2 linked regions of the Diceros bicornis minor genome follow. The protein of the gene in region 2 binds, or shares a complex with, the protein of the main gene of each other region. Links are inferred from orthologs where the notes say so. Each region holds a gene or a part of one and is shown on either strand. Other genes may lie near its edges.

Region 1 (12,312 bases), on a different chromosome or scaffold from region 2:
CTTAAAAGGAAAGCACCTACTGTAGGAATCCACGCCATAAACAAAAGATTTCTTTAAAAAATTCTTCAGTAATCCCAATACTCTGTCTTTCTGAGATAAAAGAGCCTTCACAGGTTTCACGCCTTTCCAAACATCGTTCACATTCTCATTAAAAAAGAAAAAAAGTAGGGGAAGGGCATTATAGGAGATTTACTCTACAACTGGTTTATACCATGTATAATATAAACTATATTATGTACAACAAATATTATCAGTAGAAAAAATAATCTAATACAGGGATCAATTTGAAATGCATTATATAATCTTACATTTGTAGCAAATATAACTTGTCAATTCCCAGTTGCACACCAACTGAAAAGGAAGGCATAATATGGAGGAGGGCTTATATGAAATTTAAAATCTGCTACAGATACGCCAGAAATCTAATCTTTCAGAGCTCAGTATACAGCAGGCAATTGAAATCTTCCAAAATAAATATTACAACACTCTGAGGGTTCTGATTAACAATCTGTCTGCTAATGATGGCTATACAGTTTGGCCACCAGAAAACCAAGTCTATAGAAGATCGCTGATCTGAACTAATGAAAAAGAGAATTTCAACCTGAAATTGTGACATCTGCAGAGTGAGGCAATATCAAAAACTATATCAATAGGAGAAAAGGCCAATCATCCTTCACTTAGAAAATAGAACATTTGTGTAACTATTGCTCTACAGTGAAACAGACTCAAATCCTTAGGTTTTATATACAATCTCCTGAAATTAGATGCTTTCATTACCAGGAATTTCAAGTCAAAGCTTGGCACTCAATGTCCATATTAAAAAGTACTGGATTATGTAAGGAAGTAACACTGGATATAAAATTAGGAGTCCTGGCATCCAGTTCTGGCTGTCATTTACTAAATGATTAACACTAAGGAAGACAGTTAACTTTTCTGGGTCTCAGTTTCCTCAACTGTAATAACAAAACCTACCTGTCGTGGAGGATTAAATCGGAATGACAATGTGAAAGCTTTGCACATTTTCATGTGCTCTACACAAAAGGAAAGCATTATTAAAACAATATACATAAAATATGAATGGGGAATATGTATGAGTAGCTATTTTTAATCCTGAGTGACACTGATTAATGACACCTCAGGACCCACCCACTGCCATCCATCAGCCCAGAGATTGAGAGCCAGAGTATATAGATGTCAAGGAATTCTCAAGACGCAAAACCAAAAAGATCACACTGTGAGACCAGAATTGGGCTAGATGACACCACTGGTGGAGCTTACACTGTTCACTCCATCACCAGACATTTACGCTTCTACATTCTGGGGTGGCCTGGACATACAGTTCAGGTGAGAAAACAGAACCAGCCATTAATGGGACTTATTTGGGGCCAGGTACATATTACAAGATTATGGTACTTCAAAGCATCATGCTGGTTCAATTAGTCATGTGCCACATAACAACGTTTCAGTCAACACATATATGACAGACCACATATACGATGGTGGTCCCACAAGATTAGTACCATATAGCCTAGGCATGCAGTAGGCTATACCATCTAGGTTTGTGTAAGTACACTCGATGATGTTCGCACAACGATAAAACCAGCTAACGATACATTTCTCAGAACGTATCCTTGTCGCTACGTGACACATGACTGCACTTACATTAAATGGAAACAAAAACATGCTTTATCTAATCCAGCTCCTATACATGCTTCATGATCTTAAACCTAATTCCATAAAGCTTTCCTTAACCCTGTCCACAATAAGCCTTTCTTTTCCAAGAAAGATTTTGATTTATCAAACAACCTAGTACTAGATATACTTCTTTGATTGTTCCCCAGTTTAAAGTTTATTTTATCTCTCCAACCAGCAAGTAAGGTTTTTAAACACAAGGATTGAGTGTTTTTTTCTTTTGGAAGGCCTTTTGTGTTTCAATAGATTACACAACAAGTGTTTACAAGGCATCTCAACAGGTCAAGAGTGGGAACACAAAAAACAATCACTAAGTCACTGCTCTGTAGCCTGTTACCTTTAGCAAATGTCACTCAATCACACTGAATATTCAGGCTTCCTTTCAGATCAAATAAACCAAATGACAGATGTGACCAATATAAAACCCCAGAAATCCAAGTCTAGGCATTAAGAAACGACAACATGATTAATTTTAATAAATACCAGCTATATACACTAAAGGAATTAACAACTACAGCAAGAATTTATCAAAATAACAAATATTCAATATGCACACTATACCCATCCTCAAAAAAAAAACTTAGACAAAGAAAAAAAACTACACAAAATTACTTTACTCTCTTTGAGGGCATTTGTTAGGCAGAATCAAGACATGCAAATACCAAAATATTACCTCTTTAAAAATACTCAAATGAGGACTCTCTAAATTCACAAAATACATGGGGAAATCTTCCCCAAGGATGGCTGCTAGAATCTGACCATTATATAAACGATTGGTACACTCAAATTAAGAGTTATTGAATATTTTTATGCCCAGAACTCTTAATGGTTTTAATAGGCATTAAAAGAAAGGGTTACCAAAAAATCCAACAGGCTCCCTGCCATCAAGCTTGTAATTTTACTGAGTAAACAGAGTCCCACATGGCCAGTGTCTTTCCCGAATTCCTTGTGCATACATAGTAAACCACAAGAAAATCAGAAATCATATCCAGGGCCAGCCCCGTGGCTTAGCGGTTAAGTGCGCGCGCTCCGCTACTGGCGGCCCGGGTTCGGGTCCCGGACGCGCAGCAACGCACTGCTTCTCCGGCCATGCTGAGGCCGCGTCCCACATACAGCAACTAGAAGGATGTGCAACTATGACATACAACTATCTACTGGGGCTTTGGGGAAAAAAAAGGAGGAGGATTGGCAATAGATGTTAGCTCAGAGCCGGTGTTCCTCAGCAAAAAGAGGAGGATTACCATGGATGTTAGCTCAGGGCTGATCTTCCTCACAAAAAAAAAAAAAGAAAGAAAGAAAGAAAGAAAAAAAGAAATCATATCCAAAGCCAAAATAAATCAAGTTACATGCAAATCCCTTAAAACAAAATTAACTTCTGCCTCTTCTTTAAGATAAAATGGGTAGACATCTTTCAGTTATGACTATTTTATAGGTTGAATACTACATAAAGGCTCATCAGAACTTATGAAATATCTAACACTCACCACGCCACTGCATGACTTTGTTTTCACATCCAGCTTCACCAACCCAAAACCTTAAAGAAGAGAGCAAAAGATAACAAAATGATTCTTTCACATGAAAGATGCAAACCAAGAGCTGACTACACACATAAAAAAGTAGTCAGCTCTTGGTTGAGCTGACTCAAAAAAGATTTCACATATTCAGAAGGGGATAAAAATGTATGTTGATACACAGTATTAAAATGAAAAAATTTTAAATTATTCTATGCAAACTGACAGGTAAAGGACAGAACCACTCTACGCAGCTTTGCATAGTGTTTTGGTGTATATATGGCACCAAAAAAAAAATGCTTTCAAACCATTTTAAAACCTAAATACCAGATCAGAGAATCAATTCAACTTAAATCTCAGAATAGCCAATAGTTTATTATAATACAAACATTTAGAACATTTATCCCAAAGGGATATCTCTCTTTGGGATTAAAAAATCTAAATAATTGGGGAAATAATCTAAAGGGCGGGAGTGGAAAAAAATCTTCAAGACAACCCAAATTCAATGACAAAGCACATAACCCATTAGGAGTCACCACCACAAAAGCAAAATACAGTAATATATCCTAATTCTAGTCAACCACGGCATAAGCTATAACTGAAGGAAATGAAAACACAGTTGTTTTTTTTCCTAAAGATAAAATCCTTAAACTAGAGTTTGAAAAAATTGGAGGAAACTGGGGTAGAAGGGGATGTGGATTGTTACAAAACTATTTTAACAGAAATTTTATCTAAAATTTATCTAAAAGAAGAATACAATAAAATATTTACAATTTTAATTACTAATTTAATTTCCCTAAGAAATCCAAACACATTTTCACTTCTGATCTAAAATTTTTTTAAAAAGTTCTTACCAAATCCTTTGTTGAAAATATCTCTGGCAGCTTTGCCAAGGTCAGCGTATGAGGGAGGAACACACATTGCTGGTGGGAAGAAACATTCCAGTGTTAATGTTGCAGTTCTCCCACTTTCTGTCCAAGAACTAGATTATGACCCACTGCTATCTTTAAATTCAAGCAGTCTAACCTGTTGAAGATGTGTTTTTGACACCACCAGGAGCTACAATAAAACTGTATTCTAATGATCCACGAAGGACATATCACCAACAAAGGCTTATTTCTAAAATGGATAACCACAGTAAGTGGCTATACGAACTCGGGAAATTCTCTACAAAATAGAAAAACAGACTTCCTATTCCTAACTATACACAGTGCCTACAGCCTCAACGCCTAGGACTGGACTAGTACAAAGATGCAAACATATACACACATATATATCTATACATACAGATATATCCGCCAAAATTCACTGGAACGGGCTGATTTACCCAAACGAGATGAAATCAAAACCTAACACAAGGCCCTCTCCCCCAATATATCCCTTAGTATCCTCACTGAGGTCAAAACCAACATTCTGGAGTGGGAAGAGAAAGCTAATTTACACTATGGGAATTTAAATATTGAAACTTAGGGAAAAAAGGGCCATCTATGTTTCACTCAAGTGTCTACATCAACTAACTATCCAACGGCACTTTAAACATACTAATATGACACTCAAGTCCTCGGCCAATGCTGTGTGGCTTAAGGGCAAGCAATCTGATCTACTTACACTAGCTCATTCATTCTACAAAGCACGTCCACGCCCTTAGGAGCACATGTAATGACCTTGCGCTCTCTCAGAGGAGTTACTACTTCCTCTAGAAAAGTGACTGATCCAATCCTCCAAAGGCTGAATCCAACAAATAACTTTCTGCTTTTGAGTTGGTCAAAGACACGTCCAAAAACTGAAAGTGAATGCAGCCACAGACCAACTCCCCTGGCCTAGGCCTCTTATCCGAAATCCAGCAGCCCAGCCCCTCCTCCGCAGAGACGGGGGGAGTCAGGACCGAGGAGTGGCTACCGAAAGGGGCGAATGTCCAAGTCCTTGGAGAGATGGGGGGAAAGAAGCTGCGGTTTTCTGGTCCACAGGCTTCGACTCCCCGGACACCGCCACCCCAGCCCGCAGAGATCCCTTCTCCACTTACGCCGCGGGCAGCTCTGTCCGTAGGTCGTCATGGCGAGGCCGCGGGAAGAAGTGATCTGCCGGAGAGAAAATAAGTGCGGTCAGCGGGGGTGAGGGGCGGGTCAAGAGGCCAGAAAGGGGTCTCAAACAGAGAAAGGCGAGGGGCCGCGGGGCAGCGCGGCCATCTTAGGGAGCCAGGGCCGACCCCGAGTCCGGCTCAAGCCTCCTGCTTAGCCGCCGAGGCCTAGACTCCCAGGTCGGAGTGAGGCGGGCGCGGCGGTACCTGCTGGTCTCCTGAGAAGAACCGCCGCCGCCGCTCCGTTCGCAGCTAAGACCGCTCGGCTCGCTCGGGGTCGCGCTGCAGCTGCCGCGGCTGGAGGGCGAAGTGAAGGAGACACCGTTCCGCCCGCCGCAACCCTATCCTCCCCCCGCCAGGACCCCGCCGCTGCCCCCGGGGCTGTCCGCCGCGCCTGTCTCCGCAGCGCCACCCGCTGCCCACTCCAACCCGCTCCGGAACGGCCTCGTGGGCCGAGAGCACCTCCGCCCCCGGAGTGGACCGCCTCCGTCCGTCGGCGGGGGCCGGAAAGGCAGAAGCTGCTGGACCTCGGGTCAGGCAACGATGAGGGCAGCCCCAGAGGCGAGGGGGCGGGGAACGGCAGAGGCAACGCGGCGGGGATGGCACGGGCGGGGGATGGGGCGGAGGCCCCGCGCGCGCTCGTCACGGGCGGGCGGGGCGTCAGGCGCGTGCCCGCGCGGAGCCCTGCGAGGCTGGGCGTGGCTGCGCACCCCGCAAGTCACGTACATCTCTCGACTATGTTTCTCGACTGTGGTTCTCTGAAGCTGCCGAGGCCGTCTGCCATATAGATCGTCTGGAAGGAAGTAGCTGAGCCTTACTCCCGTTTACCCTAGGCAAGTGCGACGTGCGCTTCTGAAAGACCGTCTCTCTGTCCAGGCCCAGGGAGAAACGAGTGGGGCACAGGGTCACCACTTCCAGTCCCTCGCGCCCTCCCTTCCTTCGTCTGTTTCCCGCGGCGGTGTAATCGCCATGCTGAGCGGGACTCCGCCTGAGAGGCTCTGTTGGCCTCGGCATGCCGGTCCCTGAACAAACGTGAGCACATCTCAAGGTGCCCCGCCCCTCCCATCCCACCCTCCGTCCGTGCTTAGGGTTCCTCTTCTGCCGCCTTCTGCCCGCTTAGGGATGGAACTGCTTTGCACATGCACAGAACCCACGCTGTCTTGGTGAGTCAAGCCTGCTAGAAAATTTAGGAATCATGCTGACCAGGCATTAGAATGCTGCACTCAAGTTCCTGGGTGTACAGGAAGAGGGAGCCAAGGGAACAGAAAAAAAGCCTAACGAGCTAGAAATGGGGTCACTCGAGGCTCCGGAATCAATCGCCCATCTTAGCAATTTATCCCCTTTGTACCCCAGTTTCCTTATCTATAAAATGACAGGTTTAAATCAAATGAAGTGGTCTTTAATAGCCATCAGCCACAGACTATGAGCAAAGACTTTTTCCCCCTGATTTCCTCTGGCTCTGAAAGCCACCTCTGGTCAAATGCTGCCAAGGTTCCACCCTTCTCCTGTACCAGGAAAAGCATAGCTAGATAGGCTTCCACAATCCAAAACCGGATTAAAGCTGCAGCCTGATAGATATCCCTCCCATGAGCAAACCCAGCCAGCAATCTTGCCTGGTCATGGTTGGGATTACTCATGTAAAGGGTTAGAAGAAGAGAGGAGTCTTTGCTCCTAACAGTTCAGGCACCAAAAGCACTGATTAATTCTTTCATTCAAGCTCAGACAGGTTGGTCTGAAATCAGCTTTGCTCCACTGGGAGCTGGTCTGCTCTGGCTCTGTTTGATGCTGTTGTGAGGCTAATAGCAGAGACTGACTTCCCATTCCAACTGCAGCATAACACACCACCTCCCAGAAGAACCTAGTCTCTGCTCAGTCACTTCCATTACCTGCAGTAAGGCTTATTCACATTGTGAACTATCTGTAGCATTTTTAACCTCCAGAAAATTTCACTTTGTACAGAACACTGATCTGAGGCTTCACCCTCTACAAACCCAAGGAATGTACACAATACCTAATAACCAGGAGAAGAAACACGGCAATTTACTTCAAAGTTGGATTCAGTAAATGTATCTGAGTGCTTACCTCCAAAGCCCTTTAGACCAAAGCAGCATTAGTAGCAGCCACCACTTACAGAGCAACTACCTTGTGTCACCCACAGGGAAAGCAAAGTCCATTCAGACGCAGCTCCTGCTCTCAAGCACTTAAAGTCATGTGTATATAGGTGTCAAGAACTGTGAAGGGTCTAAGATTTTACCCTACTTACAAGCTAGCAAGTTAGCTTGCCATAGGTTCATAAGTTTATAGATGCTGGCTGAAGACATGAGACTCGAAGGTCAGAGACAAAAGACTTCGTTACTTGTGGCACAGCAGGCAGCATAAGCTTAATGGTGGAATCAGTTCCACTTGCCTTCTACGTCCCACAGGAGTGATGCAGAGCACCTAGGTAGAAGCTGTGCACACCATGTATTTATGTCACAGTTCAGGAATCCTGACCTTAGGAAACCCCCTGCTTATAAGGAGCTGCTAAAAAACCTGCCCAACCTTTGCCCCAGAGGGAGACATTACAGTGTACTTCTCAGGAAATTAAATCTTGCCTCTGCCCTAGAAGGAGACACTACCTCTATTTCCAAAGGCTGTTTGCTATGCAAACATCCTTGTAAAAGTATATTGCCACAGAGGACTGTGGGCACAGTCAGGCTGAGGAGACGCTTGCACTAAAGTTTCAAAGTAGGACTTATCAAAATTAAAAAGCCCTAAGGTCAAAGATGGAAACGCAAAATTCTAGAAAGAGGTATGTGCAAAGCCATATGGGGGCTTGAAGTGACAAGAATCATTTGGAAACCACAAGTAAGTAAAGCTGGAAAAACCTGTAGAAAAAGTTGAGAGATTAGTGTAAAGATGTTGGCTGGAGCTAAATACTGAAGGTCCTAAAAACAGTGAATGAGGAGGAGTCTAGGGTGGCTGGGAGCAACATTTCTGGCTTGAGCAACTGGGAGGACAAAGGTTCTACTCACTGTCGGAAGGGCTACAGGAAGAGGGACAGGTGTGAGAGTAAAGAGGATGATTCAATTTCGGATAAGTATGAGGAGCCAGGGGCCACATCTAAATGGAGTTGTCCAGTAGGCAATTATGAAGCCTAGGAGAAAGGTCTGGGTAAGAGGCTAAAAGAAAACTCAGGAGGGAGTGTTTTCCTGGAAGCCAAAGGGGAGAGCAGTGGGGAGGAAGGAGCACTCAACAGTGTCACATCCTGAGGAGCACTCAAGTGAGGTAAAGACAGAGTATTAGTTACTATTACTGTGTAACAAATTACCCCAAAACTTAGTAGCTTAAAACAACAAACATTTTATTATCTGGAAGCTTCTGTGGGTCAGAAATTAGGGAATGGCTTAGTTGGGTGGTTCTGGCTCAGGGCCTCTCATGAGGTTGCAGTCAAGATGTTGGCTGGGGCTACAGTCTTTTAAAGGCTTGACTGTGCTGAAGGATCCACCTCCAAGATGGCTCCCTCATGTGGCTATTGGGAAGAGGCCTCAGGTCCTCATCATGTGGATCTCTCCATAGGGCTGCTTGAGTGTCCTCATGACACGGCAGCTGCTTCTCCCAGAGCAAGTGATTCGAGAGAGAGAGAGAGAGAGAGAGAGACTGAAGGCGCAATGTCTTATATGATCCAGCCTCAGGAATCACACTGTCATTTCTGCCTTATTCTCTTTGTTAGAAGTCAGTTACTAAGACTAGTCCACACTCAAGGGAAGAGCAATTAGGCTCCACCTTTTGAAAGGAGTGTCAAAGGATTTGTGGACATATTTTAAATCACCACAGTCGATCCTCTGGTCACATTATTTCTATTTCTCCTAAACAGAAAATACACTGATTCCCTCCCAAGACTTCCCCAAAACCTCCAGCCTTTATAGCATCAGCAAGAGGCCTCTCAGGTGTAGTTCCTTAAGTGCAGCAACTCCAGTACAGTTCCTCTTGATTTGAAGACCTATGAAGTAAAGAGAGAAGCTGTCTGCCCCCTACACACACATCTAACACACACAGAGTGGGATAGGCACAGGATAACTGCTAAAGACACCCCTGGTCAAAAAGAGGGAAACAGGAGATACACAGGAGTCCACAACAGTTCTGAAATCCAGCCAGACAAATTTTGAAGATGCCTTTATTAGGACTCAGTCCTACTCCTGTCTGTGCCAGATGAGGTCACATGGGGAGAGCCAGCTCTAGATACACATTCCTTCTCTTCCTGCCCCAGGCTCTGTCCTTCAGTGTGAGGAATACACCCCAGCCCACACATCCAAGCTCCATCCCGCCTCACATACATATGCTCCTTGACTATCCCATGGGCTTAGGGGTGTGTCACTGGCAGTTCAATCCATGCTCAGAAGAAAGGGCTCTGGAGAAGTCCATGCAGGCCCCAGAATGAGGCTCAGGACTGTTTCAACTGGGAAGACTGAGATCTTCTGTATCCAGAGTTTGGTCCAGATAAGGAAAGGGTGGGCATGGGCTTTGGTGGGCATGTTCCCTTGGCCCTGCAGACTCCTCACCCCATAGGAAAAGGCACAATGTGAGAAGGGTTAGAGTGAGTCACTCTAAAGTATGAGGCCCAGGGTGGGGGCCCCTCTTGCCCAGGTCTAATATTAGGGTTAGGGACTGGGAATCTTCATGCAATGGAAACAAACATTGAGATGAGAAGAGAGAGTGAGAGAAAGAAAGAAGACTGTAAGCTGTGGTTACGGTTAGAATGCGGGACGTTGGGATGTAAGATTTAGCAGCGGAGCATTCTGGGTCGTGGAAGTGAAGTTCACTGGAGTTGAGATGGTCAAGGATGATGGGTGAGGCTTAGTTGTTGGAGGCATCTGCCCCACACATATCCAATGCACAATGGTGGGATAGGCTCAGGTTGTTGGCAGGGAAACTGAAGTCACCAGGATGTTGCCAGGATAAGAGGTAGAGAGGAAAACTATGAGTTAAGTGCCAAAGTCCTCAGGGAGCATGGGAAACTGGTTATAAAGGATGACAAGTAGAGGATGGTAGAACTGATGGCATGAACCTCAAAGGAGGTGATTTTATAGGAGGGTGGAGGAGTGAAGAAAGTGGCCACCCGTCCCATGCCCAGGTCCAGCCCTAGGGTTGGGGAGGGCGTGGGAGAATGAGCAGTATTCCCTGGGACCCAATATCCAGGGGAAAAGGTAGTTTTATGAGGAGAGTGAAAGAGCATTCAGTGGTGAAGCTGAGGACTTAGGGTAGTTTGTTTACAATAGAACAATGTTCTAGAGGGCACTGTGGGATGGGGTGGCAGGGAGGGCAGCAGTGGGAGGACAGACGAGGAAGCAGGAAGCACAGACAGGACTGGGATGAAAACTAAGGCCAGGGACTTAAAAAATTTTGGGGAGTTAGGACCTACAGTTGAGGGTGAGGGGCATCCTAGGATTAACTGAGCTTGAAAGTCAAGCCAGTACCTGTGAAAAATCACTGAAATTGCACAAAAAGGACAGTGTGCCTGGTTTTGTGCATACAACTTTGGGCTGTCATTCATAGACACACTAAAGCATGAAAACCACTGATCTAGACTGTCTATCAAATCCCAGCAGTGACTAGGGGAAAGGAGGAGCATTCTATAGCTTTCCAGATTACATGCAGCGTGGACTCCATTTTGATTTAGTATTTAATATAAGATGTGATGATTAAAGCAAGGGGTGGAGTTACAGCTTAACAGTCAGGACACAAATTAAGTGCAAGCTTCATGCAGTTTCTGTCAATTGATATTCCAGTGTAGTGATTCTGGGTTGATGTAGAGACTGATATAAAGCTGTTTATTATCCAGTCAGCAACCTGTGGTCTTGCTCAGAGTTCCAATCTTGCTCAGAGTTCCAATTACACTGGTGAACCCTGTGTGTATTGTTCACACTGATGTTACAGTGATGATTGCAAAAGCTCACACCTTCCTCTATGGAAAAGCTTAGCCCAAAGTAACAGGGAAAAGGCACAGAGAATCCTGCTTCAGAGACTTCAGTGGCTCCCCTTTACCTATAGGATAAGGTCCCTGATATAAGGAAGATGGACCATGGTCCTACTCTGCCTTCCATCAGTCATGGTTCCCACCAGCCACGTGTGCTAATTCAGGTCACAGACTGTTCCCAAATCATGGTGTTTTTAGTGTCATTGCCTTTGTTTACGCTTCTTGTTCCACCTAGAATGCTTCCTTGTTCCCACTGCTTTGAGTTAAACCACCTGAATCCTTTTAAAGCCGAACTCAAATGTATTCTCACCACACCACAGTTTTTTCTCTGACTTACCAGCTACAGGTTCATTTTACTTTCTCTAAATTTCTATGGCATTTGTTACTTTACGGCATTTATTACATATTTTCCCATTATTTTATTATGAAAATTTTCAAGCATACAGAATAGTTGAAAGAATTGTATAATGAACACCTATATATCTACTACCTAGATTCCACAACTACCATTTTGCTGTATTTACTTTATCCCATGTCTATCCATTTATCCATTCATCAATTCCTCTTACCTTTTTTATACATTTCAAAGTCAGTTGCAGACATCAGTACACTTCACCCCTAAAGACTTCAGCATGCATATCATTACCTAGAGTTCAATATTTGTTTACAGTTCTTTTGTTTCAAAGTAAAATTTACCTCCATATCATGTTTTCAAAAAAATACTTGTACCTTCTGTCTTCCCAATCACACTCTTTTTTTTTTTTTTTGTGAGGAAGATCAGCCTTGAGCTAACATCCATGCCAATCCTCCTTTTTTTTTTTTGGCTGAGGAACACTGGCCCTGGGCTAACATCGGTGTCCATTTTCCTCCATCTTTATATGGGATGCCGCCACAGCATGGCCTGACAAGCGGTGCATCGGTGTGCGCCCGGGCGCCAGCAGTGGAGCGCGCGCACTTAACCGCTGTGCCGGGGCTGGCTCCATGATCAAACTCTTTAATGGTGAGAACGATTTCTTATACAACTTTATCCCCACCCACTGACCCATCCAATATCTAATAGTGATGACATTAGTAAT
Region 2 (11,347 bases):
GAACATATGCATACTGGACACAAGATACAGAAAACAAGAGATCTAACATGGGAGAAAAGGAAAAGGAATTCCCAGGATCCTGGTGAAGGGAGATCCCAGAATATAGTCATACATCAGGCAGAGAAGACTACAAGACTAGACTAGGGCAGGTCAGAAAGCTCCAGAAAGAATTACTCAGCAAGATGAAACATCATATCTAATGAAACTGAACATCGTGATCAATTTAGATAAATGGCAAAAAGTTTAGCTGCTTTGGTGGTAAGTTCATAGAAAACTAAGCCTAGAAAAAACAAAGGACATACAGGAAAAGAAAACACAAACAGCATTTGGAGCCCTAATGAAATCGATCTAAATCAAAATCACACTAACAAGTACACTGGAAGGAAGAAGAAATCAGAAGAGATGTGTGAGTGATGGAGGCAAGGAGAGGAAAGACATCTAAACCCTTACATGCATGGAGAATTCAGTGGGCAATGTCTAAAACGGAAAAATCATACGGTAACAATAAAATCATGTTATTTAGAGACATGCAGGTGAATACCTATAATTAGCTAATAAGAGGTGAAGGTAGTTGTCTCTGGGAAGAAGGTTAAGGACTGTCCCCATTCCCCAATAAACCTGGAGAACTATCTGACTTAAAAATATAGCATTTTCCCCTTTAGCAGTATTACATATTCTCAGCATCAAGCAGTAACGTTGCCTTTCACAAAGACTGCTTAAGAATAAAACAATGTTGCTTTATCGGGATTAGCAAATTCTCCAGCCCAAAACAAGAGGAACTCAATTGAACGCAGTTTGTAATAATCCCAGCATTATAGTAGTCTCACTAGTGATTGCTGCTTTGCAGGAAAAGGTGGGTTAAGAAAAATAAAAACCCAATTTTTCTTAATTGGCATGTTTATTAAAAATATAGACTAACGGTCTTGTGCTTAAATGTCACCGTGGTTGTGTGCTGGCTTCCATAAAACCTAACTAATCATAAGAACTCTTCAACAAATATACTCCAGACAGAAGTAAAAAGGTAAACAGAAATGACTGACAAGACAGTGCCATTGCAGACATAATTCCCTTATAATTAATACTTGCTAGAAAATGGAGTTTGACATTATTTACAATTACACCAACATTCATGGACGCTGAATATCACAGGCATAAGGGTATACTATGACCATAAAACGTCATTTCAAACTTCCCAAACAGTTTTATATTTCGGTATGAAGGTCAGTTACTAGAGCCAAACTTGTTCTTAACTAGTAGAATTTTTATGTCCAAAGAGGCTCTCACATCTTTCTGGAACTATTCATTTGCAGATAGCAGTAGAAACCATCAGCAGGTTCTTCATATCATGCATTCACATGTGATGCCCAATCTTCACATGCTGTCCAATTTCTTTAAGATGAAAGGAGCTGAAAGAAAAATAAATAAACCCAGAATTTGTTTTCAGATCTGTTAGCCCACAAGTTACATTATGGAATTATAAGATTGGGGGGTAAACCCTACAGGTTTAGTTCAACACATTTTTGAAAACAACTCCAAGTGATGGCCAAGACTCCGGCTGCATAACCCAGCAAAAGGGACTCATTCTGTCAAGGGGGCCCATTCCAGTGTCAGGCAGCTATGATTATTATAAGGTTCATTTTTACAAAAGATTTTACTTTTCTCCAGGTAGTTCTACCTCCCAGGGCCATAAAGAGTAAATCCAATTTAAATCTTTCAAATGACAGTCCTTTACTTTGGTGATTTAACTGTCAAAGGAACAAAACTGTAGAAAAAACAAATTGGCATTTTTCACCTTTAAAAATACATTTGAAAGAAGGCAGAGGATGCAGGAAAACAACACTGAACTAGGGAACCAGAAGAGCAGGACACACATTTTGATTCTCCCACTGATCACCTATGTATCACATATGACACAGTCCAACTTCAGTTGTTATAAGAGTCCATCAGGATGGTGTAGACACAAATGTCTAGAAAACTATGAAGTGTTGTCATAGGGATCTGAAGAAGTGATATTACTGTAGCCTGTGTAAAAGTGCGGCCAAAATAAGCATATAAAAAGATACTCAACATCATTAATCATTAGAGCAATGCAAATTAAAACTACAATGAGATACCACCTCACATCCACTAGGATGGCTAGCATCAAAAAAACTGTTGGCAAGGATGCAGAGAAATTGGAACCTTTGCATACTGTTGGTGGGAATGTATAACTGCTATGAAACACAGTATGGTGGTTCCTCAAAAAATTAAAAATAGAGGTATTTGTACATCCATGTTCATAGCAGCATTATTCACAGTAGCTCAAAGAAGCAACCCAAGTGTCCAAAGACGAATGAATGAATAAGCAAAACTGAGGTATACAATAGTAGCATTCAGCCTTCAAAAGGAAGGAGATTCTGACATATGTTACAACGTGGACGAATCTTAGGACATTATGCTAAGCAAAATAAGTCAGTTACAAAAAGACAAATACTGTATGATTCCACTTATGAGATATTTAGAGTGGTCAAAATCACAGAGACAGAAAGTAGAATGGTGGTTGCCAGGGACTGGGAGGATGGGGGAATGGAGAGTTATTGTTTAATGGGTATAGAGTTTCAGTTTTACAAGATGAAAAGAGTTCTGGAGATGGATGGTGGGTGATGGTTGTATATTATGAATGTATTTACTACCACTACACTGTACACTTAAAAATAGTTAAGATGGTAAATTTTATGTTGTGTATTTTACCACAATAGAAAAAAAAATTGGAAACAAAAGGGCTGTGACCAAAAAAGCTGCCAGAATGATCTTCTTTCTCAATACACATAATTAATAAAACATTTTATTAATATTAAACTGAAGATATTGAGATCTGCTGGAAGCTGACAAAGTCATGTCCAGTCTTTCCACTAATTCTTATCAGAGAAAAAAGGAACATCCATCAAATGAATAGATAAACAAAATGGGGTATATCCATACAATGGAATATTATTCAGCAATAAAAGGAAGGAAATATTGATACATGATACAATACACATGAACCTTGAAAACATTATGCTAAGTGAAATAAGCCAGACACAAAAGGTCTCATATTGTACAATTCCATTCATATGAAATGTCCATAATAGGGAAACCCACAAAGGCAAAGAGATTAGAGGTTGCCAAGGGCTGGAGAAGGGGGAAAATGGAGAATGACAGCTAATGGGTATTGTGTTTCTTTCAGGGGGAAAGAAATGTTCTAAAAAGATTGTGGTGATGGCTGCACAACTCTGACTATACTAAGAACCACTGAATTGTATACTTTAAATGGGTGAATTGTATACTAATATGCTAATTATATCTCAATTTAAAAAGTGATAATAATGAACAGTATTCTGTGTTTTTGTTTAAACCAATTCATATCTAATACAAGGGTCACTGATAAGAACTAAATATTTTACTGGCAGCTAAGTCAACAAAATACGGTAAGAGGAAGAAGAAATAAGTGAATTTGGGAGTTGTAAAAAGCTGCTGAAGGAGCAGGATTATTTGGGAGTTTCTGTTCACCAGCGCTCCCTCTCCTGGGGAAGCAGAGTAATACCACAGACAGTGGAAGAGGCACGGAGCTAGGGAGACCGGGCCTCAGGGAGCTCCGGCCTAGCCCAACATGAGCCTTCTACAGGATGACCTTGGTATGGCCTTCATTTATTTGAATCATCCCGGACTCTCCATCCAGACGTGCCAACAGTATACAGCAAGAAGCAATGAAAAGAATACTAAACTGAAAATAAGGTGCGGGGCAAATCACTTCTGAGATTCTTATCAGTACAACTAGAGAACTATCTACAAAGCAGCATCCAGCTCTAATATCCAGTGTGCCTGTAACTCTGACACCTTGCATAAGTCTCCTCTGAAAGCCGAGTTCTCACTTACAAAGGGGATATACAGAATCTCAGGCCCGGCCTCCCTCAAAGGGCTACTATCAAGACTAGGAAATGCAACTAAAATCAAATAAACCCTCAGGTATCATCAGTACTCCTACAGACTTTTCTTCTCATGCTTTCCAAAAAAGCAATTATTTACTTCACCCTCTGTACAAATAAACAAAGGCAGCAAAACCTTTTGGATTTCAAAGGTCAGCACTGAAGGAAGGAAACTCGATTGAGTTGAGAGTTCTGGGTTCTAGGTCAAGATCATTCACTGAACCGCCGAGTGACCTTGAGCCAGCCATTTGTCTACTCTAGACCTGTTCCTATGCGAAACGCGGGAGCTGCTCTGGGGGACATCCCTGGAGGCTCTCTCGACTCTAAGCCCTTAGGGCAGGGGGGCGGGGTGATCAGCTGCGCAGTCGGGGCCAGCGCGCGCACGTGGGCAGCCCCACCGAGGCCCGCAGCACTAAGCCGCGCACACACCCGCCGCCCGCGACGCGCACCGCCCTGCTTCCCGCGGCCGCTGCGCTCAGCTCAAGGCCGCAGAGGCCTGCAGGATCAGCGCGGGGCAGAGGCGGCGAGCTCCCAGCGGGTCCCACGGCCAGAGCTGGAAGGACACTCACTGACTCGCAGCAGGGCCACGTAGATGAGGAAGTTCCGTATGGAGGAGATCACGTCCTCGCGCATCTTCCGTTTCATCTCCTCCGGGTCCAGCTTCGGCGCGAGGCCCTCGATCCGGAACATCGCAGATCTGCCTGACGGGCTTCCAAGAGCGGCGCTCTGCTCTCCCCAGCCGCCGCCTCGCGCCCGGAACTCGGCCCAACCCCATTTCCTGTCCCCGCCTCTCGTTTTCGCGCGCGGCGACGGGAGGCTGCGAGGGCCAAACCTCGTCCGTCTCGAGCGGTTCTGAAGGAGCGCGGCCTGAAGGGGGCGGACGCGACCTTAGCGATGCAGGACCTAGAGGCTTCCTCTAGGCTGTTGGGTTAATAACCTCGGTCTTGAGCCGGGCGCGCTACGCTGCACAGTTTCTGCGCCTCGCGGGGAGCGGTGCGCATAGGTACCATCATAAATAATAATAGCTAACATTTATTGAGTACTCAGTAGAATTCTACCCCATGAATTAGATATTATAATCATTTCTTAGATGAGAAAACTGAAGCACAGAGATCTTTAAAACAACTTGCCCAAATGTGTTATAAAATACCTCAGGAAAAAAGAAGTGTTGAGGAAGAGAGATGAAACGATATTAGCAAACTTTTTAAAGTGGCTTAAGCCGGTGATTGGCACGTCATTTTAGTTAATTATTCTAATATTTCTATTTTGAGTGTATTTGAACTTCTTCATGCTAGATTAAAACAAAAAGACGAAAGATATTTCCCCAAGTTTCGAAGGTGAGGAAACTTCCTCAATATTACACGACTAGTAAATGCGGAGCAGGGTTTTATACCTAGTTAGACCTGCGGGATCGCAGACACGGAGTTTTTAACGTTTTCCGTATTATTACTGCATTCTTATTTCTGGAGTTAACTGATCCTTACAAGTTATAATACTGGCTCAATAATATAGTATATATTAATCAAGTCCAGATCTATTGAACATTTTCCAGATGAGGAGAGGGAGGCTAGGAACCTGGTGTGCTGCTTCAAGTCATCCTGCTAGTGATGGGCAGGGGCAGGGTTCTAATGCAGATAACCATAATGTCAAGGTACAGTCTTTTTCCTCTGCGTGCTACTTGCTCCTCCGTTAGTCTTCAACAGTTAATGCCTGCTTGGATGGGCAGCCCTGGAGTCAGAGGCAGGAGCTGAACACAACCAGATTTTCTGTCACAGAATCATCAAAACAGTGTTAGAAGGCTGCTGCCCCAAACTATGCATGCCAATTAGCCGTAAATAATTCTTAGACATAAACCAGATGACTGAAGTGTTCACATAATTCAAAACCAGAATGTTCCTTCTTGACTGCACATTGCATAGCAACAATGGATTTTGGATAAATTAGAACAGTAATTTACTATGGGAGCAACTGATAACTGTAAGCATTGATGCCCTCCTTCCAGATTGACAGAATGTAACACATTGAGGCAAGAGAGGGAACTCCCTGTGCATTCAAGCTTTAGTTAACCTCCTGCATCTACAATTCATGCAGTGGAATAGCCGAGGCATCTCTGGAATGGGAGGGGCTGACTCCCAAGAAATAGCCTCCATCCAGTCCTTCCAGAGTGTTTAGAAAGTCTGCACTGATGCTGGAAAGCAGCAGGGGCTGTGGAAAGAACCTGGACAGGAAGACTGAAGACATGGCTCTAGATCTGGCACTGCTGCTGTCTAGCCATGTGACGAGGGACAAGTCTGTTTCACTGCAACTCCTTTTCTTTAGTTGTAAAGGGAGGAGATATGGTGAAATACTCTTGAGAGTCCCTTTCAGTTCTAACAGTCTATGCATTCGAATTCTAATTGTATCATCTAGGACACTCTGGTCCGGAGTGTATGGAGATTAAAATATTATCAAATGTGGTCAGACATCAAAACAGCTAGTGCATGTGTTTTTCCTTGGTAGGAAGAGTGTAGCTGTGAGGCATATCTCTTCCACCTGAATAGTGAGGTGAAGCGGATTGGCAAGGAATGAGTTCTTATGTGATGCCAGTAACTTAGATCCTTAATGCTGACTGAGTTTAGATGAACAGTTTTCATGGAACTACCAATTTTTTTTTTCTTTACTGAGACGTTTTTGAGTAACTTGCCTAGATTCATCAGGAACCAGAGAGAGGAGAAATTAGCATAAAATCATGTTTCTTGGTGAAAGAACAGATTTTTAGCATTTGAATTTTATTCATCCAATGCTATATGAAAACCTACTTACTTGATAGATGATGTGGCTGTAAATGGCTGATTTGTTACAGGGCAGCGTTACCCTTAGAAAGGTCTGGTGCTTGCCAATTGTAGAGGGACAGGAAAGCAGTGGACGGACACATGGCGCAGCTGTGTCTTGGGACGAGGAATGGGTTCTGGATGCAGTTAGGAGGGTGAACTGTTCCTGTCTCAGACATGTTCTTCCTGATGAACTCTGTCTTCCCCTTGCGTGGGTCCTCTCGTGGTAATGCAGGAAACATTCGAAGAGGTTAGGCTACTGTGTTTTTTTTTTTAGTAGCTTTTGGTTTTTTTCTGTGTTGGTTTGGTTTTTTCCGGCATGTAGGTGATGGTATTGTCCAGTTATGGTTGGTTTCTGTGAGGCAAAATGAGAGAACATACTTCAGGAAGTTAACACTGGAGTGAGCTGTTTCTGGTCTTGGACCCCTGATTTTCTTCCTCATTGGAATGATGAGGGTTCCGTCTAATCTTTAAAATCACTTGCAGCTCTAAAGTGCTGAAATTCTGCATTCATCTTTCCTGTTCTTCCTTCACTACCTTGCACTAAAGGCTAAAAACAAAGAATTCCCTGTGATTAGCCATGAAAGGCGAAAATAAAAAGTATGCACACATAATTTAATATTGATATTTGTATTATTAAGTCTAATCACAGAGGAAATGATAGCAGATGTCATAGCCTGTCTTGTTTTCCATTTCTATCCCGAGAGGAATTAGGAGGCATTTCCTTTGACTCAACTTCCCAGACAGTGCTGCGCACAAGCATTCAGTGTGTACAACCTACCCACAAGAGAAGGAGTGTTTTAATTTCCATCACTGGGGAGGAATTTGTGTTTGCAAGGTCAGAGATTGACAGATGACTCATGATTGGGGAATAATTCAAACATATGATCCCAGGAACCTTGTGATTTCTAATTTATAGGGAATATGTAGGCTTTGTGTGTTGAACAGTTTAATCCCTTCATTTGACAGATGAGGAAACTGAGGCCCAGAGGGAAGCTAGTTAGAGGAAGAGCTAGCTGGAACTAGGGTAGTTCTCTGGGCTCCCAGTTCAGCACTTTTTCCCATCATACCTTGCAGCTTTCGATGCTTTGCAAATATTCTCGTTGACAATCCCCTCCTCAGGAACAAGGATTGGAAGAATGGGGTGCTGTTCAGCCCCAGTTTGGGAGGGACAGCATAAGGGGTGACTGCTATTCATCAACAGGCTGAGGGCAGCCCTTCTCTCCATGTTTCCACACCCATCACAGTAGTTAATCTGGATGGTGTTGTTCTCCAGCTCCACACCTCTCTTTCCACATTCCTTCAGGAGATGAACATGGTCTGGATTCGCAAAACAAGCTTGGCTTTGAAGTCCACTCAGGACCCAAGACGGATGAAGCAAAGGTCAGGACAAGGAAAGCACACTTGGGCCCTCAGTAAGGGTTGCTGTGTGATGAATGCTAACCGGAGTCCTCCCCCAGCACATGGGGATAACACTTCTAGAAATTACTGCCCTGCAAGAGGCATCTTCAGAAAGAGGGGCCTTTTGAACCTTAAAGGATGAGTAGAATTTTGATAACCTTCACCTCACTGGCATTGGCTTTCTATAATACCCTGTTCTCTGTTCTAATTTTTAGGTCTGGATGATTAAGGAAGGTTTGATCTCTTTCCAAGTAGATCATAAGCACCTCAAGTACAAGGAACACGTACTTTAATCTTCCAAACAGTTGGGGACAGGCATTTATACATGGTAAAAACTCAGTAAGTACCCCTTGAGTGAATGAATGAATGAATGAAATTCATATCTGCTAACCTTTAGAATTAAAAAATTGATAGCTTTGTATGTTGGATTGAAAGGAAATTGTCCACAAAAGAAATGTACCCAAAATTCTATATAATATTTTTATTTCTCACTATTTTAGTATGACTTGTTTTTGTTTGGCTGAATAAAAATCATTTAAATAATTTTAATGTATTGTAAGCAAAGTTAAAGAATGAACTTTAAAATTTACTCTAATTTATTTTTAGCAATATATCAAAGCCATATTATAATTTTAATAACTTCTTTTTTCACAAAAGTATGTTTATTACTATAAAATTTAGCAAATATAGAATTAGAGAAAAATAACAATCCCCGTAATCCCGCAACCACTATTGACATTGGTCATAATCCTTTCAGCCTTTCTTCTTCTATCATATACGTATATAGCTCTCTCTCTCTCTGTTTCTCTTTATACATGTGTGTGTACGTATATGTACATATAAATGTGTATACACACACACACCCCCATTTACATATGTATTTTTTTTTTGGAGGAAGATTAACTCTGAGCTAACATCTGTTGCCAATCCTCCTCTTTGTTGCTGAGGAAGATTGGCCCTGGGCTAACATCTGTGCCCATCTTCCTCCACTTTATATGGGATGCCGCCACAGCATGGTTTGGTAAGCGGTGCGTAGGTCCGCGCCCGGCATCTGAATCTATGAACCCCAGGGTGCCGAAGCTGAGCGCACGAACCCAACTGCCATGCCACCGGGCTGGCCCCTACATATGTATTTTTTTACAAAAATGGATCATGTAGTATATGCTAATTTAACTTGCATTTTCCATTCAAGTTATATTGACTATCTTCCTATATATTTAAATATTTTTCTAAACATCATTAATGATGGCTGTCTGGTATTCTTTATACGGATGTACCATAATTTATTTAATTAAGCTCTACCTTTGAGCATTTAGGTTGCTTCCTATTTTCCCTATAAATAATACTCCAAGTAATATGCTTATAACACTATCTTTGTGCAGCCTTAAAAAGTTCTCTGGTCATTATAATTATTACCTTAAATTCAGAGTTCTCAGTTTTTCCCAGTGATTCTCTTTTTTCTGAGGTAAAAAGGACTTTCTGGCCAAGAGTGTAGGTGTCGGATCTCTAGACTTCTGGTAATTACAAATAAGGGATGGGGAATTTTGTTTGTTTTTAAAAGAAGTTTGCTTCCTTGTGCTATAAATTCTTATTATTTTTCAGCAGGAAAAGAAAAATGTACTCAAGGGCTCAGTTTGCATTGACGTTATTTAGACCACATCATGATTACCAGCCATCTCCCTGCAGAGGTAAAGAGGCGATTCTCCCGCCACTCCTACCCTACTCGCATTACACAAAACACGTGTATATGTTATAGAAATGTGCCTATCCAGGCGGATATAGTTTCTTGCTTTTTAATAAAAATGCAGTGCCTGTCATATAATAGGTGCTCAGTTAATGTTTATCAAGTGATAGAAAAAGATGGAAGGAAAGAAAGAATCTTTCACTGATTCAGTGATCACAGATCTACCTTCTGTGCTGTTCGACTTGCTCTCACACCTTGTGGGGAGCCCTTGGAGAAAGCAGGAAGTGAGCTCCTTTTCCCAACCTATGCAGGACATACAGATGAGGCTATAGTATCCATTCTCCACACCCTGCCCCCAGCATTTTCAGGATGACACCTGCCTGATCAAAGCCAATCAGTAGATACCCACACGCATATTTTCACGTCTTAGGAAAAAAACAGTTTCCTAAAGGTAGAAATACATTTTGTTCTTGCATATCAAAGTTGAATTGCTGGGGCGGGCCCAGTGGCATAGTGGTTAAGTTCGCGTGCTGCACTTCGGTGGCCTGGGGTTCACGGGTTCGGATCTCAGGCACAGACCTACACACTGCTCATCAAGCATGCTGTGGCGATGTCCCACATAGAAAATAGAGGAAGACTGGCACAAATGTTAGCTCAGCAACAATCTTCCTCAAGCAAAAAGAGGAAGATTGGCAACAGATATTAGCTCAGGGGCAATCTTCCTCACCAAAAAAAAAGTTGAATTGCTATATATTGTTTGTACAAACTGTGAATGAAGGAACATGCCATCTTCCCATTACATAATATTTAGACTCCATTTGGGGAGGATAAAGGTCAGGCCTTAATATGTGAAGCCTTATCCTAACCATTTTCTCCAGAGAGTCTCAAAATCTCAGGTCTGGAATGGCCTGAAAGGCCCTCCAAGCTTTCTCTAATGCCTGGCCTCCACCTCTAACATCCCTGCTTTTGCTTGAGCATCTCCGGTGATGGAGAGCTCACCATTTTCCTGGGCAGCTCCATCCGTCTTTGGATAGGCAGTTCTTCCTCTTCTTCTTCTTCTTTTTTTTTTTTTTGAGGAAGATTGGTCCTGAGCTAACACTTGTTGCCAAGCTTCCTCCTTTTTTTTTCCCTTTTTTCTCCCCAAAACCCCAGTAGATAGTTGTATGTCATAGTTGTACATCCTTCTAGTTGCTCTTTGCAGGATGCCACCTCAGCATGGCTTGATGAGCGGTGCGTGGGTCCGCGCTCAGGATCCGAACTGACGAATCCCGGGCCTCCGAAGCAGAGCCTGCGAACTTAACCGCTACACTACCAAGCCGGCCCCCTGGCAATTCTTCTTATTAGAGCCAAAATCTGCCTCTCTACACCATATTCTCACTGGTCCCAGTAATGTCCTCCAGAGTGTCAAAAGCAAGTCTGATCCTTGTTCCTCATGGATGTGTAAAGGCAGCTTGGGTCTTCCTTGATGCTTGTTGACGCTCCAGGCTAAAATTAACGTTGCAAAATTC

What was found.
Region 1: the proteins of TOMM5 (region 2) and VDAC2 are in contact, whole or in part, in a cryo-EM structure (PDB 9EII), measured with the Homo sapiens proteins. The link is inferred for Diceros bicornis minor from reciprocal best matches to the Homo sapiens genes TOMM5 and VDAC2. Residues at the interface, in NP_001001790.1 of Homo sapiens: Ile25, Arg29, Leu32, Ile33, Ala36, Arg39, Val40, Phe43, Ile44, Lys47; in NP_001171752.1 of Homo sapiens: Val38, Thr60, Gly63, Asp239, Tyr258, Gln260, Thr261, Leu262, Leu268, Leu270, Val286, Leu288.

Annotation. Positions count from the first base shown.
Region 1 is NC_080745.1:31,596,398-31,608,709, forward strand, and holds the start of VDAC2 (voltage-dependent anion-selective channel protein 2), read right to left. Parts: upstream 5,597-12,312; 5' UTR 5,488-5,596; intron 5,282-5,487; 5' UTR 5,258-5,281; coding exon 5,227-5,257; intron 4,127-5,226; coding exon 4,058-4,126; intron 3,227-4,057; coding exon 3,177-3,226; intron 1-3,176. UniProt on the Homo sapiens protein: Non-selective voltage-gated ion channel that mediates the transport of anions and cations through the mitochondrion outer membrane and plasma membrane.
Region 2 is NC_080767.1:6,384,123-6,395,469, reverse strand, and holds TOMM5 (mitochondrial import receptor subunit TOM5 homolog), read right to left. Parts: upstream 4,698-11,347; 5' UTR 4,635-4,697; coding exon 4,514-4,634; intron 1,407-4,513; coding exon 1,372-1,406; 3' UTR 890-1,371; downstream 1-889.